4 linked regions of the Saccharomyces cerevisiae S288C genome follow. The main gene of each other region encodes a partner of the protein of the gene in region 2 in a complex. Each region holds a gene or a part of one and is shown on either strand. Other genes may lie near its edges. A codon is read from its position in the direction of its gene.

Region 1 (7,029 bases), on a different chromosome or scaffold from region 2:
GTCCGTCAGATCCATCGTGAGAGATGAAGGAGACTTAACAAAAGGTAGGCAAGTATTGGATGCCGAAACCGCGAAAATCATTCTATGTAAGTTAAGCGACCTTAATTTACTTTACAAATCTCACGAATACACGCATTCTTATCCGTACGACTGGAGATCCAAGAAACCTGTCATAATAAGAGCTACTCCACAGTGGTTTGCAGATTTACACGATGTAAAAAACTTGGCTCTGGAAAGCATCAGCCGCGTCAAGTTTTGTCCTAAAAGAGGCTATTCAAGACTTTCATCCTTTATGAAAAGCAGAAATGAATGGTGCATATCTAGGCAACGCTCATGGGGTATCCCTATATTAAGCTTTTACAAGAAGAGCGAACCGGATTCTGTTTTGATGAATTCAGAAATTTTGGCACATGCCATAGAAAAAATCAAACAAAAAGGAATTAATGCATGGTTTAACGATAAAGATAATGACATGAAAGAATGGTTGCCAGAAAAATATCACGACGTAGCGCATGAATACTGTCGTTCTCAAGATACTATGGATGTGTGGTTTGATAGTGGGTCGTCATGGAGTGTGATCAAAGACTTTTATGAAAAAAGCTTAAAGTTGTCAAAACTCCCATCCCCCCTGTACCAAGTTTGTCTAGAAGGATCTGATCAACATAGAGGATGGTTTCAAAGTTCACTGCTAACAAAAGTAGCATCAAGTAATGTCCCTGTTGCACCATATGAAGAAGTGATTACTCATGGTTTTACCCTAGATGAGAATGGTCTGAAAATGTCAAAATCTGTGGGAAATACAATTTCTCCCGAAGCAATAATTCGAGGCGATGAAAACTTAGGCTTACCAGCTTTGGGTGTTGATGGCTTGAGGTATCTGATAGCACAATCGAATTTCACAACTGATATAGTTGCTGGCCCGACTGTGATGAAACATGTAGGAGAAGCTCTAAAAAAGGTTAGACTAACTTTTCGCTATTTATTGAGTAATTTACAGAAGTCCCAAGATTTCAACCTTTTGCCGATTGAACAATTACGCCGTGTTGATCAATATACCTTGTATAAGATAAACGAACTGCTGGAAACGACGAGAGAACACTACCAAAAGTACAACTTTTCCAAGGTTCTCATTACTCTACAATATCATTTAAATAACGAGCTATCGGCGTTTTATTTTGATATCTCAAAGGATATTTTATATTCCAACCAAATATCGTCATTGGCAAGAAGGCAGGTCCAAACAACGCTTGTCCATATACTAAATGCATATAGGGCAATTCTTGCACCAATATTACCCGTTATGGTCCAAGAAGTATGGAAGTATATACCAGAAGGATGGTTACAAGGACAAGAACATATAGACATTAATCCGATGCGTGGAAAATGGCCGTTTTTGGACTCAAATACGGAAATCGTCACCTCCTTTGAAAACTTTGAACTAAAAATTCTAAAACAGTTCCAGGAGGAATTCAAGAGGTTAAGTCTAGAAGAAGGTGTCACCAAAACAACACATAGTCACGTTACCATTTTCACCAAGCATCACCTCCCATTCAGTTCTGACGAGCTTTGCGACATATTGCAATCATCTGCTGTTGATATATTGCAAATGGACGATAATAATAACAGTCTACCAACTATTGAATTGGGAAGCGGAATAAACGTTCAAATATTGGTTGAACGAAGCAAAAGGCACAACTGTCCCAGATGTTGGAAGGCCAACTCAGCCGAAGAGGATAAATTGTGTGACAGATGTAAAGAAGCTGTGGATCATCTCATGTCTTGAATGACATGTACCTTTCCTGTATATAAAGAATGCCAATTATTGGCTCTTAGAAAATAAAAACCCTCTTGTACTTATTAGTGGGTACCTAACAGGTCCCCTACTGACATTTTGATGCAGGGCCTCGGCCTATTGTTCTTACCAGCTCTCAGCGCGTTATACGAACAGGAAGCAAAGAAGAGAAATGTAAAAATATTGCTTTTGAGAGACCGTGTAAGGATAAGTGTTACACCCAAGGCACCCTCACCAGGAACATGACTGTCATGAATCTTTTCTTCAGGCCCTGTCAACTGCAGATGGGCTCTGGACCGTTGGAGCTCATGCTTAAAAGGCCAACGCAATTGACCACGTTTATGAACACCAGGCCCGGCGGATCAACCCAAATTAGATTCATATCGGGAAATTTAGATCCAGTGAAAAGAAGGGAGGATAGACTACGTAAAATATTTTCCAAGTCACGACTTTTAACAAGGTTAAACAAGAATCCTAAATTTTCACACTATTTCGACCGCCTCAGTGAGGCCGGCACGGTTCCAACACTTACATCATTCTTCATCTTGCATGAGGTAACTGCCATACTACCACTGTTTCTACTATGGTGGTTACTTTATAACCTCGATCTTTCTGATGATTTTAAGCTCCCAAACTTCTTAAATGGCCTAATGGATAGCTGTCATACAGCTATGGAGAAATTTGTTGGTAAGAGATATCAGGAATGCCTCAACAAAAACAAGTTGATTTTATCTGGCACAGTAGCCTACGTTACAGTAAAATTACTATATCCGGTACGCATTTTCATTAGTATCTGGGGAGCACCATATTTTGGGAAATGGTTGCTTCTTCCCTTTCAAAAATTAAAGCACCTTATTAAGAAATAAAGCTTTTTTTTCCTTTTTTTTTTCTGGCCCAGAGACGGATTATTGTTTTCAGTTGAAGTTGCGCACTCGGCATATGATTTATAGATTCCCAATATATTGTACTTCGTTATATATGTGTTACGAATATTTTTGATTTCGTTTTAGAGAGTTTTGATTAGAGGAAATTATAGCTTTTTTTAACAGTGAAATAAATATCATACATCAAAAGTCTTCAAGAATTACGTGGTGTGGCTTAAGTTGCGTTTCATTTTCCCGCTTCAATACTTGAAAGTTATCCCACAATCACTGCTGACAAAAAGGATACAAGAAAGGTTTATAGGAAAGAAAAAAGGCGGAAGGGTATACTGAAGTTAGTAATTTTGCTTCCCAATTGAATTAAGGCCGCCTAGTTTTGACGGGAGGAGAGAGAAATGTATAATGGCAAGGATAGAGCACAAAACTCCTATCAGCCAATGTACCAAAGGCCTATGCAGGTACAAGGACAACAGCAAGCTCAATCGTTCGTTGGAAAGAAAAACACAATCGGAAGTGTGCATGGAAAAGCCCCGATGCTAATGGCCAATAATGATGTTTTTACTATTGGACCTTATAGGGCAAGAAAAGATAGAATGCGGGTATCTGTCTTAGAAAAGTACGAAGTTATTGGCTACATTGCTGCGGGCACATATGGTAAAGTTTACAAAGCGAAAAGACAAATCAACTCCGGTACCAATTCCGCTAATGGTTCTAGTCTGAATGGTACCAATGCGAAAATTCCGCAGTTTGACAGCACGCAACCAAAATCAAGCTCTTCAATGGACATGCAGGCAAATACAAACGCATTAAGAAGAAACTTGTTAAAGGATGAAGGAGTGACCCCCGGAAGAATACGAACTACGAGGGAAGATGTATCCCCGCACTATAATTCCCAAAAACAAACCCTCATTAAAAAACCGCTGACGGTATTTTATGCCATTAAAAAGTTCAAGACAGAGAAGGATGGCGTCGAACAATTGCATTATACGGGAATATCTCAGAGTGCCTGTAGAGAAATGGCATTATGTCGAGAATTGCACAACAAGCATTTAACCACATTAGTGGAAATTTTTTTGGAAAGGAAATGTGTCCATATGGTATACGAATATGCGGAGCATGATCTGCTACAAATTATCCACTTCCATTCCCATCCCGAAAAAAGGATGATACCACCAAGAATGGTTCGGTCTATTATGTGGCAGCTTTTAGACGGCGTATCGTATCTTCATCAAAATTGGGTGCTTCATCGAGATTTGAAACCCGCAAATATAATGGTGACCATAGATGGATGTGTTAAAATTGGTGATTTAGGTTTGGCCAGAAAATTTCATAATATGCTGCAAACCCTCTATACTGGGGATAAAGTGGTTGTCACTATATGGTACCGTGCACCTGAGTTGCTATTGGGAGCACGGCACTATACCCCTGCGGTTGATTTATGGTCCGTTGGCTGCATTTTTGCAGAACTGATAGGATTACAGCCCATATTTAAAGGTGAAGAAGCTAAACTAGACTCTAAAAAGACTGTTCCATTTCAAGTGAATCAACTACAGAGAATTTTGGAAGTTCTTGGCACTCCCGATCAAAAAATTTGGCCTTATTTGGAGAAGTATCCAGAATATGATCAAATTACGAAGTTTCCAAAGTATAGGGATAACCTTGCTACATGGTATCATTCCGCGGGAGGAAGGGACAAGCATGCTTTAAGCTTACTTTACCACTTGTTAAATTATGATCCAATTAAAAGAATAGATGCATTTAATGCGTTGGAACATAAGTACTTCACAGAAAGTGATATTCCTGTTAGTGAAAATGTATTTGAAGGTCTAACTTACAAATACCCGGCAAGAAGAATTCACACGAACGATAATGACATCATGAATCTTGGATCAAGAACGAAAAACAATACACAAGCTTCAGGAATCACCGCAGGTGCCGCTGCAAATGCGTTAGGTGGGCTTGGTGTTAACCGTAGAATTCTGGCCGCGGCAGCAGCAGCCGCTGCTGCGGTGTCAGGAAACAATGCATCAGATGAGCCATCTCGAAAGAAAAACAGAAGATAGGCTTCTATTTTTATATATATTTGGAATTTTTCATTCCACAGCACTGTCACTATTATATTCATTAAACTTTTTTTTATCTTTATAGTATTTAAATCGGCATACAGTTTCAATTTTTCGCTTTAGAGGCACTAAGAATGCAAGTCTGCAACATTCAGGTAAAATAATGGGTTGATTTTAGGTCGAGCTAAAACCCTGTTCTCCGCAGATGTATGCGAATTTCGTCATAATTCATCTCAACTAATGGGGCTTTAAAACATATGAATATCTCATGCATTCCCAAAAAAGAAGAAAGAAAAGACTTCAAGTACCCCCCTTAATTTTTATATAATGGTAGTAGTAGGTTTGTTCGTAACTTATCGGCAATAGTAATATGTTCCCATTATAACACATCTGTTAATGGTATTCAGGTTAATAACCATAGCAAAAAATATAAACAACTTTGTACATTTTCCATAAAAAAGAATGACTTTACGAAAACATTGGATGAAACAACCAGTTCATCCCGTTCAAAGTCTAAACTACGTATAAAGTAGAGTTATCATCGGTTAACAAAGTACATTGTGTAGTATGTAGAAGGGCTGAAACCATCAAGAAAAGGAGGGACACGCTCATACAAAGGAGAAGTCATGAATTCTAAATGTATCTAATAAGATACGTGAATTCAGCATCACCTAGTTATTAATGACCAGCCGAACCTAAAAGTCATTGCACAAACAATGTAGAAACATAGCTAATTTTACATACTTTTATTTGCGGTCTACTTATAACCATTATGTATATCATGGGAAATAAATAATTCTCGTCTTGCCTATTACTTCAAACGGAACGTCTAGGAGCGATACTGGTAATAAGGTTTCAGTATGATTTACTGAGATGCTGGACAGTATATGTAGAGAGTTTCTCGCGCTTCTCGTAAAACAGTACTAAAATAACGACATAAAAGCTTTCGAGTACGTTAGAGATTCATCTATCTACTCTTTGAAAAATAATGTACATACGTAAAGAGAATACAAATCGAAATTCCTATAAATATGGTTCTACCTCTATTTTTTTGCGTGCTTTCTCTTACGCTTGAACCCGATTATTCTCTTTATATCATCGCCCATCTTTTTGTCATCGGGATTGGTGGGCGTCGTTGCTTCTTCTTTTTTTGGCTTCTTATTCTCGGATTCTCCGACATCTCCAGTATCTTCATTATCTGGTCTTGTTCTCTTGGTTCTTGCTTGCTTCAATTGTTCCCTTCTTCTCTTTACGACGTTAGAGTTCTCAATCGCAAATTCAACACAAAGACGTCTTCCTTTGCCTAAGTCATTGTCTACTTGTTTCTTTTCATCATCATTCAAACCCTCTAAAATTTCATCGGAGGTAACGGCATGACAATTCAACCACCTTAAGCCCATCAAAGCGTTTTTATGATCTCTGAATTCTACAAAACCGTAACCTCTACTTCTTCCCGCAGTTGATCCTTTAACTTCCATTATAACTTTTGCTTGCTTGACAACACCACTTTTTTTGTCTTTCTTTTTTTGAGCTTCAATCTCATCTGGACCCATGAACTTGTATTTTTCCTTTGTAGATCTGATAATCTCTTCTTTACTCAATGGATGTCTTTCCTTATTTTTAACTTCTGTAGCAAATTCCACGACAGCTTTACGAGCTAACGCCTTTAATGCTTTATCATTCATTGCTCTAGGAAGATTTCTGATAGCCAACCTAGTCATCGACAAATGCAAAGATGGGTTCTTTTTCAGTTGCTCCACTCTTAATTTGTAAGATTTTTCTCTGATCTCCATGTCAGTGTTGGTTAACAAATCAGCCATTTTTGAGCCTTCAACAACTCTACCTTCATTCAGCAAATATAAGTTACGTCTATCTTTTTCGCCTGGCGCTTTACCTAGGGCCTCCTTTCTTTTGGCGGCGTTCTTTTCTGCCATTCTTCCAGCATCCTCTCTTACTAACGTTGGAGTAATGGACAGAACACGACCTTCATACACATACTCAGGCATGACATCATCACCTATCAATAAAGAGGTAGAGCCAGCCGCAGGCGCATTTTTGATACACTCGTTATATGTATATTGGTCTTTGAAGGCTACAAAGGCCGTACCTTTAGCCAACCCCGTAGACTTATCGATAACAGGTAATGCGTATTTAACGCTGCCAAATTTACTGAAGTGCGGAGCCAAAGATTCTTCAGTGGCATCATAAGGGACGTTACGAACAAAAACAGAAAAATCTTCCCTTTTGTTTTGTGCTTTACGTTTCGATTCTTTGTTTTTTGAAGCTTGATCTA
Region 2 (9,801 bases):
TATACAACAAAATGATTCGTGAAATTCCTAGGCAAAGAATAATTGACCATTTAGAAACAATTGATAAAATTCCTCGTTCATTCATTCATGACTTCTTGCATATCGTCTATACCAGGAGTATCCATCCGCAGGCGAATAAATTGAAACATTACAAAGCATTCAGCAATTATGTTTATGGAGAACTTTTGCCCAATTTCCTATCTGATGTATATCAACAATGCCAGTTGAAGAAGGGTGACACTTTCATGGATCTCGGTTCGGGAGTAGGTAATTGCGTAGTACAAGCTGCGTTGGAATGTGGATGTGCATTAAGCTTCGGATGTGAAATCATGGATGATGCTAGCGATTTAACTATACTGCAGTACGAGGAACTAAAGAAGAGGTGTAAGTTATATGGGATGCGTTTGAACAACGTGGAGTTTTCATTGAAGAAAAGCTTTGTGGACAATAACAGGGTCGCTGAACTAATTCCTCAGTGCGATGTTATCCTCGTAAATAATTTTTTATTTGATGAAGATTTGAATAAAAAAGTCGAAAAGATACTACAAACGGCAAAAGTTGGATGTAAGATCATAAGTTTGAAAAGTTTAAGAAGCCTCACTTATCAGATCAACTTCTACAATGTTGAGAACATCTTCAATAGATTAAAGGTGCAAAGGTATGATCTTAAGGAGGATAGTGTTTCATGGACGCATAGTGGCGGAGAGTATTATATATCAACAGTGATGGAGGATGTGGACGAAAGTTTATTCAGCCCTGCTGCAAGAGGTAGGAGGAACAGAGGTACGCCGGTGAAGTATACCAGATGAGGCACTTTGAACGGCTTTTAACGATGAGTATGAATAACTAAGTAGAAATAACATGTACACAAGTGTAACTTATAAAAATCAAAAAATAAAAAAATAGAAAGGGAGAGAATAAGAGTAGGTAATAATATGAATTAAAAGAAGGATAAGGCGCCGTGGACCAGGTACCTAAAAAGTAAAGTACCAGTTTATATTAACAAAAGAAGTTCAAGCTAAAAAGTAGCAATATGCGAAGGAAAGGAAAATAATTGAAGGAGGAGGCAGAGAACAAATTTAAATCAGGAGTGCAATATGGAAAAAATAGGAGCAGATAATTTCTCCTCACCATGTAGACTATCTAACACTAGCACAAAGTCATATTCCAGAATATGAGCACCCACTTGTCTGATAAGGTCGCCCGCAGCATATGCCGTTCCACCGGTGGCGAGAACATCATCCACGACAACCACGTTGGAATCAAAGGGAATGGCTTCAACCTGCATTTCAAAAATTTCTTCATGGTCTAATTTTGTGAATGTTATAGAAGCACACTCACCCGGCAATTTTCCAACTCTCCTTATTGGAACAAATCCAACTCCCAATGCCAGTGCTAGGGATGGCCCAAATAGAAGGCCTCTAGCTTCTATACCTGCAATAAAGTCGATCTTTTCTTTGCCGAACTTTTCTTCTAAATGCGTCTTGAACGTGTGTACCAACTTTTGGAATAGCGTGGGGTTGCCAATAATAGGTAAAAAATCCTCAAATTGCTCACCCTCTATGGGAAAGTCAGTGAACTGCCTAAATGCAGTTTTTATTTCCTTTGCGTAAGATTCAGAAATAGACATAATGAGAGGCGGACAGGCAATGAACAGGCATATACACACGCACTCTCTTTTTTTAAGGAGCGAAAATTATCTGAACGATTGGTATGAACGGGTGCAAAATTTACTTTAACACCCAAAAAGTATATGCGTATATATATATATTTATCCTTGTTATTTTTGTAAATTGAGCTATGCAACATAAGATTCCTGCGATGTAAGAACTACTTGCTAATCAAGAGAACTTCAACAATTTTCCATCGCAGAGACGAAAAAACTGGAAAAAAATAAAAAGAAAAAATTGAAAAAGAATCGCGACTTCCGATTACATAACCTTATACGGAGTATGATACCATTCTTGACATCATCAACACACCATCGCAGACCCACGTGGCCGCTTCGTGTGCCTTGAAAATACAGCCTTAAACGCAATCTCATTCGCGTTCTGTGGAAATTGTCTCGGACTACACGCTGGGCGTGCATCACCAGTGAAAATGCCGTACCGCCCCGCTTCCGGTTTTGTTTTTATAAATCCGACTGGAGAAATAGACTTCTGGGTTTACACCCCGGAATAATACTAAAACCAAAACTGGTAAATAGGGCTACAGATGAGCAGGAAAACGTTGCCGGAAAAAGTTTATTTATCCGAGAGAATAATTGATGAAGAAGTAGCGGTATGCACAGTAGCGGCGGAAGTATTAGCAATTTTTACTCTGGTGTGCACAAGAGTGTTCATCATTTTTTTCACGGCTAGGATATGCCATGGAATATGGCCATCTTCGCCATCAGAGAGACCGTACCACACGTTTAGAGCAGCCAGGTTGCGAAACTCTTCTAAGATGGTTTCCAGCAATTGTGTACTATCAGAATGTGGACAGTTTAAAAGGTTGACTGCGAATTTGTCCCAAACCGTATCACCGTCGCATTTTTTGAATTTGATCAAAGCACCACTCCTAATAGCACAGCGATGCTGTGAGTGTGCCAGTGGGAACGGGTGCTGAAATACTATTCCATGGATGTCCTGGTCTATATCCCTTATTTCATAGTCGTATAATCTGGTCATATCCATGCGTCCTCCAAACCTAGTGTCTTTGTAGATCGGCTTGAAACTAGGGTACAATTTGTCCTCATCTATGAAGGAGATTTTAGAGTTGTCATCCACACACACCACAGCAAGATGTATATTCCTACCAGAAAGTCTCCTCCAATTCATCAATTCATCATCCGGCAGTATGCCATTCAATCTAGTTAAAATTAGACATATTTTTCCGAATTTTTTAGACGCTAAATTTAGGGCGATATTCCATATTTGATTACATGCGTCGTCAAATTTTCCTCTGGAATTCCCGACGTACCACGTTTTCGTCATGCTGCCTTGTCCATAGCTATCTGAAAGAGCTGCAAAAACCCACTCTTTATCTACACTACGCGAGTATGCCAGGTGGATGTACGAGTCATAATATATTATAGAAGATGATCCTGTACTGTTATTCTGCTGCTGCTGTTGCTGTTGCTGTTGCTGTTGCATTTGCTGTTGCTGCATGGTTCTGAAATTCACTTTCTCCGGCAGCGTATGCGCAATGTGGGTGAACTTTACAGATTTTGGCGGCAGCATGTTATATATAGAAATTGCTACGTTGACGTACTGATCCACTGTCACCAGTACGTTTCTAATGAAATCCATAGGAATAACTTTCAAATATAGTTCAATGTTAGGCATCTTGGCACAAACTTCGTTCTTGATCACCTGAAAAATATTCGCCTTGTCTACTAATTCAGTCAGAGTTGCATTATCCAAGGGTAAAATTATTAATATTGGTGGCACGTTTTTGATGGAGTTCTTATTATTAGAACAGTATGAAACAATCTGCGCAGCTAACAACAGTAACTTGTTTTTATCAAATGCCTTCAAGTACATCAGTCCGGGCGGGTCTTCATTAGTTAGTTTAAGCAACTCACAAAACCCTAACTCTTGATTAATATATGTTTGAGATAGAGTTGGCGCAAATGACAGACAATCTTCTTTGAAAGATGAACTTAATAATAAGGATTTGAAGTTTTTTATTCCATTTGGAGGGCGAAAATTGAGGAACTTAATAAATGGCTGAGAGTCGTGTTTGACTTTGATTAGTTCGTGATGTTTCTTTACAAAAACGTACGGCTGCTTCATGTTATAGAATTTGGAGATCGTATCATTGCCATTTAATCTATCGAAAGTGGAAAATAACTGTAACATTGTGGTTGTTATTAAACCTTCTTGGCAATCTTTAACTCCCCTATAGGCGATCTTTGGAATACCGAGGTTTCCTAAGATATTATAATCAGTGACGACTTGTTCTGCAATTAAATCTAAGATGTCTTGTTCTTTTTCTGAAATTGTAACAACGGGAGTAGGCGTGATGAAAATGTCCGGTATAGATGCTAGCGGCATGTGTCTCAATAGAAACGGTAGACTACTTGATGATTCAAAAGATAAATTGGGGTCCGCCGGTGTGAATTCGGGGATACCACTCTTGTCTTTTGGTAGGTTAGAAATTTCAGAATTTACCATATTCGGCGTAAATTCGGACGGATTACTGGTAACATTATTATCTTCCAAGGTCATCTTTATATTGGATTCTATGGGTTGAATAGATGAATCAACGGTCTTCAGTGGTGACTCGGTCTGTGGTATATCATTTTGAGGAATTTTCCAAATAGAGTTGAAGCCTTCCTTATTGCTAGTGATATTAGCATCGTTTACTGAATTGAAATTTTCTTGCTTTATAATAGAGTCTTGTAGACTTGGGATCGAAGAGTAATTTATGTATTGAGGCTCATGAATATTAGTATTAGTACTGATGTTATCAGAAGGTTTCATGTCGTCGCGTACGTTCAATGACTTTAGATCCTCATCGCTGCTACCGTTCTCTTCTTCATCCTCTTCCTCTTCAGAGCTAGAAAGATCCGCCATAGAAATATCAAAGTTTAATGCTTCCTCCTTTTGCAACGGACTGAAGGAAAATTTCCCTCCAGATTTGTATTTGTTATCAACATTGTTTTCTATTATGGGGTTAAAATTCAGTGGAGCGAACACACTTTTGCGTCTATCGCGGGGTGTTTCCACAGGGAGTGGCGCACCTGGGTCCATATATAATGGACTCGTTGGCAAGGTCATTTCATCTATCGGAATATCCAAATATTTCCTCTTTCCATTTAATCTTTTTGTAGTTCCGCTCATCGTACGGATATTCGGTTTTTCAGATGAGGGAAAAAATGGAATATCTTTACCAAGATCAGTATGCATTTCCTTGTTATTTTTATTAATGCTTTTATTGTTATTATTTTCTTCTTCATCAGACATTTCGAACATATCCTCGGTAATTTCGTCCGATATACTTTTGTTCGATTCGTTTGTAGAATTCGATTTATTGCTATCGCCAAATAAATCCTCATCCTCATCCTCACCAAACAATTCCTTGTCTACCATAGAGTCACTTTTATCACTTGGCAGATTTTCGTTCTGTTCTCGTTGTTCCAGTGTTCCCTCTTTATTATGAAGTGTGTCTACGCTTCCTGTCTTGCTCACGGAATTATTTACCTTTTCGAGTGATCTACCATTTGCCTCCAGTTCCGTTTTCAGTGGGCTGTTCTCTAAGTCATTTGATACTGTAGTTTGTTTCCTATCATTAAATAATTCATTCTCATTGATGTTATTATTAGGGGTATTTAAGAAAGCTGGAGCAAATTGATCGCTGGGCGACAGCATTAATTTATCAATGCCTGTGAAATTAGGGGAGAAATCTTTCGGAGATATCTTATTAGTTTCTTGGACAGAATGATAAGAAGCGGGTTGAGAACTAATTGAGTTGTTCTTATAATGTTGAAACTGTTCTGTATATGCTCCATCTGAGCTTAAGGGATTTGTACCAGCAATATTACTGCTCAATACGCCGGAACTTCCTGGAGTCCTATAGGCAGCTGTTTGCTTTAATTGTATGAAATCATCAATGGCATCCAGAGCATCTTGCAAACAGTGAAATTCTGATGGATCTCCGGAAGTAGAATTTTCTATATCAGCTACTGGTTGGGCGAAGATTAAATGCAGCGGCCATACTAGCTTCTTTGCTTCAAGTAAGGGAGTTAAATACGAAGCTATAGTAGGTGTGTGGCCGTTGAGATGTCCTAAGTCAGGAACAACAGCAACCCATTTCAAATTTTTTTTATTTTGTAAGTTTATACCATGAGATACACTTAACGTCGTCAAGAGAAGTTCTGTATGTTTTGGTGGCGTTATCAAGTATCCTTGCTTGGAAGCAGGGGCCAAATGCATCCTTATTCCAGATGGTGCTAAATAAAGCGCATGCTTTGAAAGGAAAGATTCTTCCAAATTTTCCTCCTTCATTGGTACTAATCCCATGTTCTTGGCACATAACGACACTGTGAGATCTCCGTTTACAAAAAGGTGTGGTTCTAGCTGTACGAGATAATTTGGCACTCCGCTTAATGATATGCAGGCATTCCCAAATTGTATTAGCTTATTGTGTGAACCTAATGCCAAATTAATGTAAATTTTCCTTCTTAAAGCTTTTAAAAAAAGAGCATAGTGTGGCGGTAAGTTTGGCTTTGAATAATCGGCAGTGAAAGTTCCGATTTTATCTGGGCTCACTGGTTTATGTTCTATCGCAGGAGGTGTCGGTACCGGATCATCATTTATACTGAAACACCATAAATCCCTTGAAAGCAGCGCAACTAGAGTCTTTGGATCCTGCTTCCGTAGCATGAATTCCATTTGGATAGACCATTGATCGTTTTGGGCTTTAGAAATGTACTGATGATAGTTGATCTTTTTGATTTTCTCCACTCTATAGAAGCTGGATAAAACATCCTCAAGTCTGTACGTGGAAGCGTCAGAACTCATACTACCTCCTCAGATCTTGATATCCAGCTTAAACGTTCTTAAAATATAGTTACACCTTACTTCAACAAAGTAATTTCCGATTTCACACCATTCGTCTTAAAGGGTTGTTGTAAGAGTGTACTACAATAAATACTACACTACTTGATCCGGCACTACCCGGTCCCTCCACCTGAAAAAATGTTTCAATTCTTCGCTTTGTTAAGCGCGAATATATCGATGCTATTTTCTAAGGATTGTTTATTCAGTATGATAAAACAATGAACAGCAGGAAATGCGGAGGAGAATCACTTACTCGGCTGTTATTCATCTTCTTATTATAAAAGAATTGCTCCATTTTGGTTCGATCCCTTAATGCCTTACAAAATCAACCGAATGAAAAATTCGCTCGAGATAAATGAAACCGGAGGTACCTTATTGGTTGATGAGCGGAAGAGATTAAGAATAGGTGAGTTATATCGCTACAAGTTTTCCGTGAACAAAGATGTAATTAAGGAACAAGGGCTAGATGTATCGCATCTATTCTTGAGGATCAAGAACGAGGAAAGCGCGCTTCTGCGACCGCTTTATTTGACGGGGCCATATTCTTTTTACATCGATGTTAGGCCGCATAACTATAATGAGAATCGCAAGTTTCCAGGGAAGGAAATTATTCCATTTGTTGAAAATCTAAAGCCGGACGAAAGATTTAAAGTAAAAATATTATTGAATGAGAATTCTAGAGTTGGCGACACTTCTCTTTATTCATGGACAATAGATATAATTTCGCAGTTGGCGGTAACCACAATTCCGAAGCTGGAATTTTCGTTTAGGATAGGGACTACAAGGAAGGTGGTCAAGAAATCGAATGGGCTCTTTAAGAGTATTGAAGGTGTCTCTTTAGAGATGTGGGATACTGAAACCCTTTGGGATTTACCACCAAAATTTCCAGAAAAGCCTGTACATCTCGTTATTATGACACATGGTATATTTTCTAATATCGGGTGTGATATGCTATATATGAAAGATAAAATTGAAGAAATGACGTTTCCTATGGATGAGTCTATTAATCCGAATATAATTGTTCGAGGTTTTATGGGCAACGTCGGGAAATCAGGTCACGGTATACATTGCTTGGGCGTTAGAGTTGGAAAGTATGTGCTTGAGACTGTTGATAAGTTGAATAAAAAGTACAAAGTAGACAGGATATCATTCATTGGCCATTCCCTAGGAGGGCCAACTCAATCCATGGCGGTGCGTTACATAAGTATTAAAAGACCAGATTTTTTTGATGCAGTTAAAGGTGTTAAACCCGTTAATTTTATTACGTTAGCTAGTCCTTTCATCGGTGTTATTGGCGACTTCCCCTTTTATTTGTCTGTTCCACTGGATATGGGCGCGCTTGGTTTGACAGGAAGGGACTTGAATTTAAAATATACACCGTTAACGTCCAAAGATGGGTTGTATGCAGACGATGAAGTGTACCCAGAACATTCCAAGTACATATTAGAAATTCTTCCACAGGCGCCGGCTAAAAAAGTATTTGAGTCTTTTAAGAGGAGAACGATATATGCCAATGTCATGGATGATGGTATTGTTCCATTACGAACTGCTGCACTTTTGTATCTGGATTGGCGAAGCATACACAAAGTCCAGAAAATTAGGAAAAAAAATAAGAACTCTCCAACTTCAAGCGAGTTTGTGTCCTCCGATAGCCCAGAGAGTAGTGGAGCATCATCACCTTCAAACGAAAATGGTAACAACGTCGGGGAGATTCCTGCAGAAAGTCCAAACAAAAAAGCGACGTTGCAGTGGACTTTACCTCAGGCCGTTATCCACGGAAGTAAAATAAATAAATATAAGAGAGGACAAACTAATGAAGCCAACTCAGATTCGGATAATGAACAAGGAGTATTTCTTGATGGTCAAAAGTTCGAACCTCCAAAAGAAGCCAATACTGTATTGTCTGCATTATCGGTATTGACAGCTGCCATACCAGATCAGGAGTATATCAAAAACCCGGCTGTAAGGAAAGATGAAGTCATTCATGATAAACTTTATCACCCGGAAGAATTACCTCCGCCGCATTATGAGAATAGGCCTATCGTTAAGAAGCTTATATATCCTAATGAGAGTGTCAACAGGATTCAAGAGCGCATTGCTAGAGAATGGCAAGAAACGATGACTTGGAGAAAAGTATTAGTGCAGATCCAGCCTGATTCCCATAACAATATCGTAGTAAGAAGAAGATTTGTTAATTTATACGGCTATGTTGCTGTGGAACACATGGTTGAGCACCATTTCGGATCCAAGGTTTGTAGCGAGCTGGCTGAAGATGCAAATGAGCCAAAAGATGAGCCAAACCAGTCATCGCAAGCGGACCGGTCGAATGAGTATAACGAGGGGGAAATATCAAAGGGCGCGGAGAATGCCACATGAGTTTGATGATTTATAATGTATACGTAAAAAAAAATATCATAGATGAAATAAAAGTTTCTTAAGAATATCACAATGACCACAATAAAGTGTGGATGTTGTTTAAAAAAAAGATAGCCCTGTAGGGGGCTCGAACCCCTAACCTTATGATTAAGAGTCATACGCGCTACCGATTGCGCCAACAAGGCTATTTCGTTGGAAAAACTAATTAATTTTGGAAGTAATAGGACATTAAACATGTTTGTTGCAATGAAACTTTAAAATATCATCTGTTTAGTTTTATTCATGTTACTTGTTGGAATAAAAATCAACTATCATCTACTAACTAGTATTTACGTTACTAGTATATTATCATATACGGTGTTAGAAGATGACGCAAATGATGAGAAATAGTCATCTAAATTAGTGGAAGCTGAAACGCAAGGATTGATAATGTAATAGGATCAATGAATATTAACATATAAAACGATGATAATAATATTTATAGAATTGTGTAGAATTGCAGATTCCCTTTTATGGATTCCTAAATCCTCGAGGAGAACTTCTAGTATATCTACATACCTAATATTATAGCCTTAATCACAATGGAATCCCAACAATTACATCAAAATCCACATTCTCTACATTACTAGTATATTATCATATGCGGTTTAAGAAAATGGTATAAAGATTAAGAAACAGTCATGAAAATTTAGTGAAGCTGAAATGCCAGTATTGATAATACGATAGAATAATGAATGACAAAGTATATAAGGAAGATGAAGTAACATTATTATGGAGAACTATCGACTCCCTTTTGTGAATTTCTATATCCTCAAGGAGAATTGCTTGTATACTATGTATATATAATATTATAACCCTTGACAACAATGGAATAATTAGT
Region 3 (6,851 bases), on a different chromosome or scaffold from region 2:
GTTAGGTTCGTCAATTTAGTAATACTGGTGTATGAGGACTGGAATCTTATGCTTTTTAGCGGTCTCACCGCCATCCTCATCACAGGCTTATAGAACAACATAACAGCTTTGGTTTCTCTATGTACTAACCAATCCTGCTTTCTTTGGTTAGGGGGCTAGCTCATTTTATATCTCATCGGGGCAATTTTTTCCATCACAGAATACTAGGCAACAAAATCTGCAGAAGCACAATCCACATTTGGAATTAAAAGATAGTGAAAAATGTACATGAACCCCAACCAGTAACTTAAACATAATATTTTGGGTCACTATATCTAGGGCGTTGTTCTTCTTTGTGATTTATGCAATATACGCATATATGTATATATATATAAATATATGTTTAAAAATGTCCATAGCCGCTATTTGATCATAATAAGCCATCTTCATACAAAGCCAACAATTGATCGTTCTCTGCTATATAAGCGTTGATATCTAGGGCAAACTTGTCCCAGTCTATCTGGGGAATGTCGTCGTTGCTAATCCATTTTTGCTTTTGAAATCCGTTCTCTACAGTGAAAATTTCTCGCAGTAAATCCCTATTCTCCGCCAATACATCAACAAATTCCTGGTAATTCTTGGTATTTTGAATTTTGTGGAAAAGAGAACACAGATTCTTGACAAAAGATTCTCTTTCGTTAATAAGCGTCTCTAGCTGTGTTCTTCGTTGTTGCAGTACGATGTAATCGAGATCTTGATGCAGGTCAGTTTTTTGAAACTTGGCCACAGCATCGTGCGTTCCCTTTGGGGTGATCATTCCAGTTTAAATAGACTGGTACACGCTAGTACTGATCTTGTAAGCGGATGAGCACTTTGTCTTAATCCTCCTTAACCATCGCTCATAAACCCCAGTTTTATAATCGGTGGCAAACATGTCATTTGGTACGGTATCATTTAGAGGAATCAATTGGTTGGGTATTAAAACTGACACATAATTACTGTTATTGGTAAATTTATAATTTATCCATTTGGATATATTCTGAGATCAATGTGGATTTTTCCTCTCAAACCGAGCATCAAAAAGACTCAGGTTTACACAGGAATCGTTAAACGCAGTCGTATCATTACTGCCTGTAGCCATGTCATCTGTGTACTTGGTATTATAGTTGGAGATGAAGTGGTACGGCTCCATGGAAAATGTGCAGACATATTTATGATCTTTCTTGTCATAAATGAGCCATTTCTGTTCGTTTTCGTGCGCTATTTCAACTATGCCGATTCCTAAATTTAAACTAAACGATTCTTCTTGGTCTGCATCTTCTTCTTCCCCGTAGTCGCCACTATGAAGTTTTGTTTCCTTAACGAAAGAGGACACTTGGAATGGTGGTAAGTTCAGCAATTTCTTCGGTAGTTCGACCTTACCGCTTGTGTGGAATGCTGGGGCATCAATTGTGGATGAATAGATGGCGAATGATTTCAATGAAGACAAAATTTCGTACAAGAACAGCTTCAATCTTAAATTAAATGATATTTTATCAAACAGCTTGCATATGCTATCAATGAATGGACTTGTGGGTTTATCAGCTGATAAATCAGCGATGATGCGTTGGAAAATGGAATCCTGATGAAAGCTAAAAATTTTCAAGACGGCATCTATTTGGATTTCTCTCTTAGATAAATTTCCTTCGTTCAGTTCACTTAATTGTCTTATGATCTTTATTAGTAAATGATAGTTCTCCATGGAAATAACTATCATACCAGAAGTTTCTCTTTGAAACCTCATCGATAATGACGTTATAATCTCGATCACCACAACGATGTAATTATCATCTATCTTTTGGTTGTTGTTTTGCAAACAAGAAGTGCAGAAATCTTTCTCCACTATTTGGGTTATCATCTCAATGGTCTGCATATCCTTCAGTTGGTCAAATATTTGTGAACATAAATCATTAGAATTAGTTATTTCGATAATTTGGAATATGAAGTTCTTCAAGTCTTCCATTGCCATTGCTGGCTCATTATTCTCCATGATTTTTTTGATGCAGAAACAGGTAAACGCTTGGAAAACCCAAAGATTGGCAAAGTCCATCATAACGTAATATTCTACATGATCAATTTCGTCGACTGTGTGATCATCATCGTCACTTTTATCATCGTTGGTTACAACAGTGTCATTGTCTGGTTGTCCACTACCCAATGGAATATCGTTAAGATCGGTTTCCGACGGACAAGTTGAGTAGTACAAAATATCCTCCAAAATATTAGATGAGTTTTCCACGCTATCATTCAATAACAACATAATGATTTTTGTAGATGTTGCAAGTAATTTGGGAGATGACCCATAAGTTATTAAAATTTTCAATAGGATCTCATAATAATTTATTTCACATTCGTTGCCATGATATTTTTTTTCTAATTCATAACATGTAAGTAAAATTTTCTCAAAATTTGACTTTATGAATTGTTCTTTATGATACTTCAAAAACAGACCATATGAGCCGTCATTATTTTCCAAGTTTATTGGTAATAATCGAATAATATACTCGAGCCCCAACACATTCTGCGTCACTTCAAAAGTTAGAAGTTTTAGAGAGATCAATTGAATTAAATTTTTGTTAGTAAAGTCTTTCCTTTTCAAGAAAATGGACATAAATTTATTGTACTCCTTCAAGTTAGTGGCAATCAAAAGCATGACATTGTTTCGTGCTTTCTGGAACTGTTTGCTTGTATTTGTATCAATGATCTCGGAGTTGTGTAGTAGAAACCTGATGTTTACTTGAAACACCTCGGGAAAATTCCAAGTCTGTCCAACAGCTTGGTTTGAATTATTGATCATGGAATACACCTTCAAGACTTCTGATTTATCATTCTTCAGCTTCTCAGTTTTCAATTTCTCATCATTGTAAACAGATTGTAACTCAATCCTTAAATCGTTATCCACCTTTAAAACAAAAGGGAAGTTTTTCATAAAAAATTTCCAGAATGGCATAAATGAAGTCACATTATAAGCAGGCACGTCTTTTTCTTTCAAAACTTTCTTGTAAATGAATATGAACGTCTTCGTAAAAAGAATATGGTCATTAATGAATTGTGAGAACAATTTTTGGTAGCATAGCAAGATGTCCATCAATGCCTCCAGAGATTCTATATCACTTAGCAATTGATGGTAGACAATAAACTCGATCCACTTAAAAAAGTGGTGGAAAACCTCCAGATCGATACAAAAAATCTTGAATATTTTTAGCAACACTGTGCGGTTAACACTAGATAAAATACCGGAACATAAATGTGATAAGTACCATTCTGCAACCATGATTTTAATGCTCAGAGGAGTTTTCGACAGTTGCAAATTAGTTATATCATTGGAGAGTATTCGCATTTTGATTTGTTCTGTGATTTCCACGAGTTGGTCGAAATTAAAAATTTCATAAAATTTAACGTCATATTCCATAACGTTCCTCAATACCATATTGTATTGACTTTTCATCAACGGTGAAATTTTCAAGTTAATTAACAGCTGGACATGCACAAACTTATCATTGGAATCTTGGAGATAAAGTAGGCCGGAACTGATTAGCTTTCTGATATACGTAGGGACCTTAATGATGCCATAAGTAATTAGTATATTAAGCAGGCGATACAAAGAAGGCATCATATATGATACCACCCTCTTTTGGGCCGAAAAATTTTTGGCTAATTGGAAAACCAATGACCAAATGGCATCTTCTATCTGGAATTCGTGCAAATCCTCATCTGTTGAATTTATTCGCAATAGTAATAATTTCGCTACCAGTTGATTAGATTCATAGTGATCAAATTGCCTTGATGGATGTATGGACCAGAGAATTAATTGAATAATTTTATGCATTGTAAGGGGATTTTGGTCAACGTAAGTGGGCCAATCGAATTCTGTAGGGTTATCGTCCAGTAGCTTGGTGAACTGAGTATCTATACAATTTAATTGAATGCATGATAGTTTTGGAAATTGTTTACAGGTGACGATAGTTAATTGAAAGTCATTTGCGTTGCTGGCAGACATTATTACGTTTCGTATAGAAGAATTATTCTTCAATGACTCGTTTCTGTAACTAATTAACTCTAATTTTTTCTTCATATCAGAATTTTGATTAGTGTCGGCGTTTGAGACTATTTCAAAAAGTAAGGGCTTGTAAATTTCCCAGTTAGATGTGGGAAATATAAACACCTCTAAAGATTGTTCTTGAAAAATTTTCAAAATTAAACTGGATAATATTTTGAGAATATTCAACTTTATCTTGTTGTTTTTCTTTATATCATTGATGATGTAGTTCTCGTCATTTATCATTGATTTGCTGCTGGAAACAATATAATATTTGTGCAATAGCATATCAGTGATTTTTGTTACCAGAAAGAAGGGCTCTTTTTGACTTGATGTTATTGTAGCCGCAACAGGAGCATTTGTATCAATTTGGCAGATGTCGTTCCAAAAAATCATCAAAATATGTAAAGATAATGGCAAAAATTCGAAGTTTTCCATCTTATTTATAAACTCTACAAGCCAATGATGAAAGATTTCCTTATTGATCAATCTTAGTGAGTAGCAATTCCCCAAAAGTTTTAAAAAATAAGAAATCTGCCTCTTCCACGTACGCAGTTGTTGAGAATCGTTATAGTGATTTGTCATATCAAAGATGAGCTTTTCCAGGATGTATACAAAGGTATCCGTCCAGTCCTTTAGCAGGTGCATGGAAATGGCATCATCTGCCCCAGCAGCATTTGACCTCTTCTTTTTGTGGTTCGATTTCCATTCGATAAAATAGCAGCACTTTATCAACCAAATCGCCCTTTTCAATGGTATAAATTTTAAATAGCACTGCTCGATGACTTGCCTTCTTTTCAAGCCGTGAGGTATAAACTTGCCAATTTTGACCAGCGAAGTGTGAGACGAACTCAATTCATGCAACCACGTTTCCTTTCTATGATCAGTAAGGGTTATTCTATTAGGCAACTGAAAACCAGGCCCGTGTAATGTCGTCGTGGAATTTGAGGGGATCTTATTAATGTGGTCTTCTCTAATCTTGATAATTTTGTCGAATTGCTGGGAAAGAATGTTGGATTGAGTGACTAATGATTCATGAACAGATGATCTCGCAGATATGGACTCGAAATTTACCATTGGTGTATGGTAAAAGCCCTTAGCCACAAAGTTTGCTAGGATTTGATCTTCTGCTGCAGTGTGCTCCCAAGGCTTGAAATCAGGGTATACTTGTTCCTGAGGTTTCGAGCTTGGCACATAGGGGTGAAGATCATCTGGGGGAGTCAGCAAGTATCGACCAGAACCGTTATTCATCGCGTTATTGGCTTACCTCTATAGACCTTTTTTTAATCTTTCGATTAGCATCAAAAATCTCAGCATTTTTTCAGAAAGGTGTTTAAAATGCGCTATAAAGAATATAAAAAGTAATATATATGTATACATACTAATAAAAGGAAGAAAAAAAATACAAAAGATGATTATCTAGGACTTGTTTCCACCCAGGGGGGTGTTTAGTTTAATTTTGTTTCGTTAGATTGTGCATTCATTAGTTTGGTTTCTCTTTGGGGGCCAGTTCTGTCAACATTGGGCCAGTTGCCCCAATTGGAAAGCCTAACCACCACGCAAGTGGCGTTGTCTGAGTGTTTAGTGGCTATTGCCTGAATAAATTTGATTGTCTCCTCTGCAACAAATTGAGGAGTCGCCTTTTTCAGTCCCCAGGAGTTCACCGTAGAGGTGATGAGGTCAACAACCTCTTGGTCTGCAAGTTTATTGGTGATGCCGTCGGTGACAAGCGCCAGGAAGCATTCATCACCATTGAAGGGCAGCTTCGACCTTTCAGATCGCGGCAAATGCAAGGTATTTCCGACAAGAAACGAGAAAATATCCGGCTCACTAGATATACCATACGGTTTCCCAGCGACATCACCAAACGATCTAGTGTTGGCGAAATTATTCAAAAACCTTGTCTCTCCAAAGGCGTCTGGGTCCAATCGAGAAGGGTCTATGCTCAAACGGTGTCGTTCCCTACTGGAATTGATGTGGTGAGTTGTTGTTAATGCGTGTGCAATCCCGTCTTGATCGCAGAGGATGATCTTAGAGTCGCCCACCTGCGTGACAATGAGTTTGAGCAATCCAGAGTGCGATATGATCCACGAGTCATCGTCTTTCCCCTCATCAATGGGTGCATTCGGATCATCATACGGATATAGAAATATGGACGACGCTGTGGACCCCGCTGCGGTGCCCAGGCCGCAGCATTGGTCGAGATCGAACCTGGCAAACCCGTAGAACAATCGCAGACGGTCTAGCTCAGTGAGCAGTGCAATTTTGTCAATAATATTCCCCATTTTATCAAAAATCATCCTGCCACCATTTTGTCCAAGGATCGCACTATCGCCCTCCTTCATCAGCAGCAGTTCTTGTTTCGAGTTGCAGTTCTTTATAAACTTGTTGTAGAATTTTTCAAACGTGGACAGCTTATGTTTCCAGTAATTTCCCTCGGGAAACCTTCTTGCATATTCCTGTACCAACTTCTTCAAGTCCTGCTTGTCCCAGGAGGGTTCAGGGAAATCCAGGCTACTGCACAATTTATCGGCTAACAACTGTGACAGTTGCGCACCTTTCTCCCCATGGCCATCGAATACAGAGCAGTTCAGGGCACTTCCATACGCATTAGGCCACGACCGCATCATTTTAATGGAGTAATTGTCCTGGTTCTCTAACCGGTTGATCCTACTCGTGGCGTGACCCACGTACCCTGGAAGACCCCGTAACAAGTCCAGCTTCAGCCCAACATTTTGCGACGGCTTGCAATACGCATAAGCATTCCCCAGCCGCATCAAATTCCCCTCTTCTG
Region 4 (6,577 bases), on a different chromosome or scaffold from region 2:
TTTTACTAGTCCGTGTCCACTTATATATATGCAAAAGTATTATCAAACACTTTAGAAAAGGAAGAAAATGTTTTTGAAATAAGCCAACATGTTCTAGTATTTTAACTTGGGGGGCGTTTAATATTTCTGTTAGTTTATCAATTTGGCCTGCCATAAGAATTTCTGACAAAGGTTTTGTGGTTGCACATACTCTGAAAAATGGGGAAGTTTGAGCCACGGTTCACCCATCTTGAATGTGTGTTATAAGTGGGCTACTGCAGTAGACCAAATTGAAAGGATTTTTTGAACACTGGAGAAAAAAACACTAGGTTCGATTCTTTAAATTTAATACATGTCAAGGTCCGACCCAGCTTTCCACCTCAATATCAAAGCAATTTTTAATTATGCATTATAACGGTACCTATTCTCAATATGTCTTGACGTTCCAATATCATGTTAAACAAAGGTAGTCAAGGACGAAACATTTCCAAAACGGATCATCACCACCATAATGATTGAATTTACAGGCTTAACGGTTTTTAAATTTATTCTTCGCATGATTAAATTGCAGATGCTGGTCTAAGATACAAAGTATGTAGCAGAAACTTTATCCATTGTTCGTGGTACTTGTCCCAATGATCGTATAATGTAATTTGCTCTTGAATCGTATCCATAACCTCCTCAAGATCTACAAGAGATTCTGCCATAAAACGATTAAAAGCTATTTGAACAGGAGAACTAGAATTTTTAGGATCTCTGATGGCTTCAGAAGCCGCAGATGCTAACGATGATCCTTTGGTTGGTTTCCCATGAATGGAAATCGTAATGAATAAACATGCAACAGCGATAATATGAGGAGGGTAAAGCAAATGAACATCATTTATATAACTGTCGTTGATTAAGGACCAACAGTTTTGTAGATCATCTGACGATAGTGTTATTTGAAATGGCGGTTGCTTTAAGACTTGAACAATTTGCTTTAAGGATTGATAAGGGTGGTGGACAATTAAGTAACTTTCCAATTCTTCTAGTAAGTAGAACTCAAACTCAGTAACTTTAGTAGGGTCAGGAGGAATAAATTCGGGCCATAAGGTACGGGCTTCACTTACCAAAGTTCTGATATATTGCGGGCATTCTTCAACTTTGCATGCTAAATATACACACGTAGTAACCAGCATATATAGGTTTATTTCTCTAACTGAAGCCTTTATTAAAAACCTTGATAGATAAATATGTGCTGTAGCCAGTGCATACTGTCTTATATTTAGTCTCCTTCCAAGCTTCATTATCAGGAAATAGCAGTAGATCCTTAGATTATAATCTTTATCATAGTGTAAGTCTCGGTGAGTTATTGGTATATTCTTTGTGATGGATTGTTCGATGCCGTTTTGCTTCGAATCCATTACAATATTCAAACCTTGAGGAAACAGCTGGCACTCCAATAGCCATAACTTCTGCCTCTCTTTAGCCAATGATGCCTTGGTATATTGCCAATGATGCCTTTGTGTAGATGTCCAGAAGCTCCCCGACATGTCTAACTTTTGAGATTCAGATGCCTTATCGCTCTTCAACTAAAGTTTGAGAGGGCATTTTTTGTTCGAACAATATGAGTGCTAACAAGGTTGCTACCACATCAATGAACTCTACTCCTGTATGAACCCTAATTTTCCTTCATGAAAAATGAATTTTCGATGTTTTTCCGTGGATTTTATATTTTTTCAAATATATAAAGGAGTAAGAAAATAACTTTGTTTATCCTATGTTGCGGTAAAGAACTAAATAGTGGTCTTCACCTGTTTTCTAATTTCTTCTCGTTTAAAGTTCTTCAATCCATGACCAAAGAATCGTCACAAATCGAAGCTTACAAAATGGAGTAAAATTTTTTTTACTCAGTAATATGCTTTGGGTTGAAAGTCTCCCACCAATTCGTATGCGGAAAACGTAATGAGATTTAAAAATTTTAAATTGTTTAAATCAACTCATTAAGGAGGATGCCCTTGGGTATTCTGCTTCTTGACCTGGTACCTCTATTGCAGGGTACTGGTGTTTTCTTCGGTACTGGATTCCGTTTGTATGGAATCTAAACCATAGTTATGACGATTGCTCTTTCCCGTGCTGGATCGAGTAACCCAATGGAGCTTACTATTCTTGGTCCATGGATTCACCCCTTTTTATTTTTTTAACAGTTTGTTGTTTACACTACTTTTTAGCAGTGTAAAACTTTTGCATAGTTAAATATGCCGAACTGATCTAATAAAAAGTCTGAATAACTCAGATGAGTTATTTATTGGTAAACTTGTGTAAGAAGAAGATGGAATAGTGAATAATTCATCAAATGATGAAATACCAATGCAACAGAGTCAAGCTCTGAGTTTCAAAAAGAAACATGGACGAGATTGCTTTTTTATTACTGACCATGATTATTCATTACTTACCATTGTTCCTCATTCTATATAATTGATTGGGCACCACGTAAATTCTTGAGCCTTTTCGGTAGTATTCAATCGCAATATGGGGTAGTTTACGGAAGTGCTGTAAATGATGTCTAAAATGAACAACTATGCGTCCTTATTGTGACAATGAATTCCCTTCTTAAATCTCTATAGAGGTCGAATAGATGAATACTCAACACAAAACACTATAAAATAAAAAAAAATACAAAAGTGTTTATATTTTTGCTGTGCGTGCTAGCTCATAGCACCCTTACTTGTACGCTATCAGACGATAGAATTAAAGAGACACTTCGTCTGAATCCACTTATACTCTTTGTTTTAAAAGGTACTGCACCTTCTATGACCTTGATTTGCGTAACTTTAAATCCATATGACTAAGTATCTTCCAATCAGCTGTTAAATTGACTGATGGCCATCAAAATACATGCTAAACTAACATATGGACTGGCCCTTTCACCAACACGTGCCATTTTCCAGAAGGCCCCCAAAACCTCATGATTTTTGTAACGATCTAGGAGAGACGGCCACTGCCCATGAACATAAGAACATGAACAAATCAGTAACAATATCACTTGCAGAAGAGAACGAAAATTAAATAATGCAGACATATTCTGTCGTGGAAAAAGGACGCAACTTTGCAAAGTAAATCGATCCGGCTCTCTAGTTATTTTGCAAACGATGTTTACCGCTGTTCTGTCTTTATCCTTGAGTTGTCGTTGCTCACTCTATTGAAGATCAAAATTTCGCTCAAGAAGAGCAGTCCCACCATGCGTACACCACACTACAAAAATGAATGTTATATCGTTTTTTCATGAATTACAAATGTCTATCGAAAAGTTCATTACTAAATATAATAAGATCAGGATCATTAAGAGATAAATTCACTGTGTCAGGTTACTTCCTGATAAGCTGAAACAAGTGGGTTCTTTCCTTAAGATAATGTTCAAATTTACTAAAATCTGTAATTTCAAGAACGTCAAAATTTCTTTTAATCTTGTTGAAAAAATGTTTATCAGCTTTTCTTCTCTTCTTGTAAGCCATCAAGATTACAGGTGGGTTTATGCAGTGAGTGAGATCAAGTAGTGTTTTTTCTAGTAATGGAAAAGCTTCCTCGAGATACACACAATCAGCTGCCAAAACTAGATCAACGTTATTTGCTTGCATAGCACCTTCTTGAGGTGAGAAATCTGCCGACAGCGGCTCACCCCACCAAAGTTCCCTCGCAAGAACTTCATACTGAACTTCGTCCAGTTCTATATTTCTTTTCAATAGTGGTATCAACTTGTCAATGTCCGTAACATATACTTTAGTGCCATCGTGGAATGTGTTTTTTTCCAACAACCCCACGCACAATCCAACTAAACCTGTACCACTACCCAATTCTAAGACTTTTTTAAATTGTTTCGTACCATTGACCGTCTTACTTAGCAGATGGTCAACTGATTTCTCGAGTATGTACTCGCACAACAGTTCGCCAGCGATCCAGACTTTACCGCCACAACCACTTTCACCGCCATCTTCACAAATTTTCAATGCAGGCAATAATTTTCCACCGAAGGAAAGGTCTGTTTGACCGAGATGCTCCTTTGGCCTAGGAACAACTAGATCTCCAAACCCACCAAATATACTCTCCATACTCAATACCTCACTAGTCGCGTTTTTATAACGTTCTAGGGAAAATTATGGGCCATTTTTTTACATAGAGCCTGCTCATCATAACTTTTGAATTATTTAAATACGAAGAATTACTTTCAGTGTTTGGGTGTGAGGGACTTTTCGTTTGGTCAAGCCAAAAAAGCTTAAGAGAAAAGAAAAATCTCTTCTGGTTTTACTTGACTAGGTTTCCAAATTATAATATCCGTATTATTAACGTGACACTCAGTATTCTCCATTCGTTTACGGGAACGTTGATATGTAAACATATGCAGATCCTCGTATTTTAGCAACGACAGGGAGAAACAAGAAATGAGATAGGATGAAAAAAAATAAAAGTTAGATATTTCTATTTAATTAGAATTCCGCGTAATAAATAATGACACGCTATTATAGTTCATGTATTATTATCCATTACAGGACTATCCTCTTGAATTACGGGCGTATCCAACCTTCTTTCAAGTTCTTCTTCAGTTGAACACAACGAAATGGAATCGGCCAAAAATGCCTCTTTGGCCATAAAATCGAAGTGTCCAACCAAAAGCTCCATGTCACGTTCGGTATTCACGGATGCTGTTTCGTAATTTTCAGGATACACTAGTGCTGTTTTGCCATCATCAAGGATTAGGTATTGAGGATTCACTACTAACGTATGCTTGAGATGTGGTTCAAAAAATCTCCTTAGATCTTCGGCAGTATTTCCAGCAACCAAATTTTGAACCAAAAAACCATTTTTCTTAGCCACCTCTACTTTAGGTTCCGTATCTTGAACCTCGAAGTTGATTAGTTTAGCTGTGGTGCGAGCTTGAAATTCTTGTGCTTTCCTTTCCTTCTGCAATTGTTTAAATGATTCATATAGTGGGTAAGCTTCTGCTAATGATAAGACTGGTTTATTGCTTGCGCCATTATCTTCTTTCTTAATAAATACAGATCTCATGGGCTCTCTGTCCTGAGACTCGGAATATAGGCCGTAAGCTTTGGCTAGTTCACGGATGAAGTGGCGTTGAGGAGGCCTCATAGGTTTGAAATGCAAGCTTGAACGTGTTTTATCGTCCATTAATTTATTAAGAATAGCTTCAATTTGTGAACACCATCTTTCTTGCTTTGAATATACTGATAATGCTGCCTCTGTAAACGGTAACTGCAGTTCTTCAAATGTTGTAGCAACAGAGACCAGTTTTTTTAACGCATCTAGTTCATTACTTGTAAAATTATTGGTTTCTTCCTTAATTCCAAATGCCTCCTTCAATTCCTTTAGTCGTTTCAAAGCTTCACATTCTTCATTGCAATCCAGCACGGAAGATTCAGTTACACTTACTCTATCACTTTTTGCGCCACAAGTAACACTTTTTTTGATCCTTCCACATTTACAATAAATTTTCACTAGCGTGGCACAAGGTAAATCGGGACACTCTGTCTTACCATGGCACGGTTTAGGACATTCATGATTACAATTGAGCCTTTTTTGCCCACAGGTCTGTTTACACACCTTTTGGCAATTTCCTGGTAAATGACATGTTTTTTGGCAGGTATGATAACAGTAAGAGAGTGGTATCCCACATTTTATTCCACATGATACGTCTGTTTGAAAACAAACCGTTCTCACTTTAGTTTTCTTCCCACATTTACAAGGTTTAAATACGGTTTCCGTACATGGCGGGCACGACACATCCAAGGAATGACAGGTATGTGGCATTGGTTTATGACCACACGTAGATTCGCCACGCACAACTTTAATACATGGATGATTACATGTAGGTAGCTTCGTGCCACAACGCACGGGTGCAGGAACAACTGTATTGCCACATGGGCAGACCAGATCGTTCGAATCACTCTCTAAACAGGGCGGACACTTTCCTGGGTGACATTTTCTCTGACATTTATGAATTCCACATGATAGGGTCAAGTTACACGGTTTTAGGCAGATATGTTTTGCTTCCACAAGAGACTCATCCAACAAATCTTGCGTTCTGAACAAGTTTTTCTTCCTTCTTATCGCCGATGGCCTACCACTGCAGCACCTATCGGTGCATCTATGTCTACGGCATGACATCAGGGATTCGCATTTAATATTGCAGCGAGGCCTTCCTTGAAATCCACATGGAACTGAAAATGTACTTTGCTCACAAGCACATTTTACACTATCAATTTGCAAGCAGGGTTCCATACAGGCTTTATCATGACAAGTGAAGGGGCACGAATGTTTGCCACATTTTAGTGGTTTACCGCATCTTGAGTCGCAGGTTGGTATCGGATCATCACAATGCTTACGAGGCTTAGTCAGTTCCTCTAGGGCTGTCCGGCCACAGGGACAAGTTTTCAAAGAGCTAGGCAAAAATGGGCATGCCTTTTCTCCATTAATTGTGGGTGGGCTTATGCAAGATTCTATGAATGAATGCTTGCGACATGAGTAGTCGACAACTCTATTATCTGCACAGGCAAACACGCCTATCCACCTGTTCCCATTTTCATCCTTCGACGACTTACCGGAC

What was found.
Region 1: SSN2 (region 2) and SSN3 share a complex: the UniProt entries of both Saccharomyces cerevisiae proteins name them as parts of the SRB8-11 complex.
Region 3: the proteins of SSN2 (region 2) and SRB8 are in contact, whole or in part, in a cryo-EM structure (PDB 7KPV), measured with the Saccharomyces cerevisiae proteins. Residues at the interface, in NP_010731.3 of Saccharomyces cerevisiae: Ala5 (codon at 6,494), His126 (codon at 6,131), Lys128 (codon at 6,125), Leu129 (codon at 6,122), Ser138 (codon at 6,095), Ser140 (codon at 6,089), Val142 (codon at 6,083), Pro143 (codon at 6,080), Tyr145 (codon at 6,074), Val147 (codon at 6,068), Leu163 (codon at 6,020), Ala165 (codon at 6,014), Ser288 (codon at 5,645), Gly289 (codon at 5,642), Asp290 (codon at 5,639), Phe294 (codon at 5,627), His295 (codon at 5,624), Cys296 (codon at 5,621), Leu297 (codon at 5,618), Asp299 (codon at 5,612), Ala300 (codon at 5,609), Leu301 (codon at 5,606), Ala303 (codon at 5,600), Ile304 (codon at 5,597), Asp306 (codon at 5,591), Phe307 (codon at 5,588), Ile308 (codon at 5,585), Leu310 (codon at 5,579), Lys311 (codon at 5,576), Gln312 (codon at 5,573); in NP_010004.1 of Saccharomyces cerevisiae: Leu75 (codon at 5,086), Val76 (codon at 5,083), Ser79 (codon at 5,074), Leu82 (codon at 5,065), Ser83 (codon at 5,062), Phe86 (codon at 5,053), Asp87 (codon at 5,050), Ile90 (codon at 5,041), Lys99 (codon at 5,014), Ser102 (codon at 5,005), Ser104 (codon at 4,999), Thr105 (codon at 4,996), Leu108 (codon at 4,987), Leu140 (codon at 4,891), Lys168 (codon at 4,807), Arg169 (codon at 4,804), Ile171 (codon at 4,798), Lys175 (codon at 4,786), Met223 (codon at 4,642), Tyr227 (codon at 4,630), Leu233 (codon at 4,612), Trp236 (codon at 4,603), Lys237 (codon at 4,600), Leu244 (codon at 4,579), Lys245 (codon at 4,576), Gly248 (codon at 4,567), Asn249 (codon at 4,564), Tyr251 (codon at 4,558), Ser252 (codon at 4,555), Leu253 (codon at 4,552).
Region 4: the proteins of SSN2 (region 2) and SSN8 are in contact, whole or in part, in a cryo-EM structure (PDB 7KPV), measured with the Saccharomyces cerevisiae proteins. Residues at the interface, in NP_010731.3 of Saccharomyces cerevisiae: His1109 (codon at 3,182), Leu1111 (codon at 3,176), Pro1112 (codon at 3,173), Val1115 (codon at 3,164), Phe1117 (codon at 3,158), Arg1118 (codon at 3,155), Thr1119 (codon at 3,152), Met1120 (codon at 3,149), Lys1208 (codon at 2,885), Phe1210 (codon at 2,879); in NP_014373.3 of Saccharomyces cerevisiae: Lys18 (codon at 1,460), Ala19 (codon at 1,457), Ala22 (codon at 1,448), Leu283 (codon at 665), Glu284 (codon at 662), Met287 (codon at 653), Ile290 (codon at 644), Gln291 (codon at 641), Ile294 (codon at 632), Asp298 (codon at 620).

The regions. Positions count from the first base shown.
Region 1 is NC_001148.4:470,747-477,775, reverse strand, and holds SSN3 (cyclin-dependent serine/threonine protein kinase SSN3), read left to right. Parts: upstream 1-3,068; coding exon 3,069-4,736; downstream 4,737-7,029. Other genes in the region: isoleucine--tRNA ligase ISM1, read left to right, coding at 1-1,783; MRX11 (Mrx11p), read left to right, coding at 2,035-2,658; mRNA-binding ribosome biosynthesis protein NOP4, read right to left, coding at 5,780-7,029. UniProt on the Saccharomyces cerevisiae protein: Component of the SRB8-11 complex. The SRB8-11 complex is a regulatory module of the Mediator complex which is itself involved in regulation of basal and activated RNA polymerase II-dependent transcription.
Region 2 is NC_001136.10:1,343,433-1,353,233, forward strand, and holds SSN2 (Ssn2p), read right to left. Parts: upstream 6,507-9,801; coding exon 2,244-6,506; downstream 1-2,243. Other genes in the region: histone methyltransferase DOT1, read left to right, coding at 1-809; adenine phosphoribosyltransferase APT2, read right to left, coding at 1,085-1,630; YDR444W (putative hydrolase), read left to right, coding at 6,858-8,921. UniProt on the Saccharomyces cerevisiae protein: Component of the SRB8-11 complex. The SRB8-11 complex is a regulatory module of the Mediator complex which is itself involved in regulation of basal and activated RNA polymerase II-dependent transcription.
Region 3 is NC_001135.5:252,828-259,678, reverse strand, and holds SRB8 (Srb8p), read right to left. Parts: upstream 5,309-6,851; coding exon 1,025-5,308; downstream 1-1,024. Other genes in the region: TRX3 (Trx3p), read right to left, coding at 1-101; AHC2 (Ahc2p), read right to left, coding at 410-796; type 2C protein phosphatase PTC6, read right to left, coding at 5,506-6,834.
Region 4 is NC_001146.8:583,781-590,357, forward strand, and holds SSN8 (cyclin-dependent protein serine/threonine kinase regulator SSN8), read right to left. Parts: upstream 1,512-6,577; coding exon 540-1,511; downstream 1-539. Other genes in the region: KSH1 (Ksh1p), read right to left, coding at 2,822-3,040; EFM6 (putative protein-lysine N-methyltransferase), read right to left, coding at 3,327-4,067; FAP1 (Fap1p), read right to left, coding at 4,483-6,577. UniProt on the Saccharomyces cerevisiae protein: Component of the SRB8-11 complex. The SRB8-11 complex is a regulatory module of the Mediator complex which is itself involved in regulation of basal and activated RNA polymerase II-dependent transcription.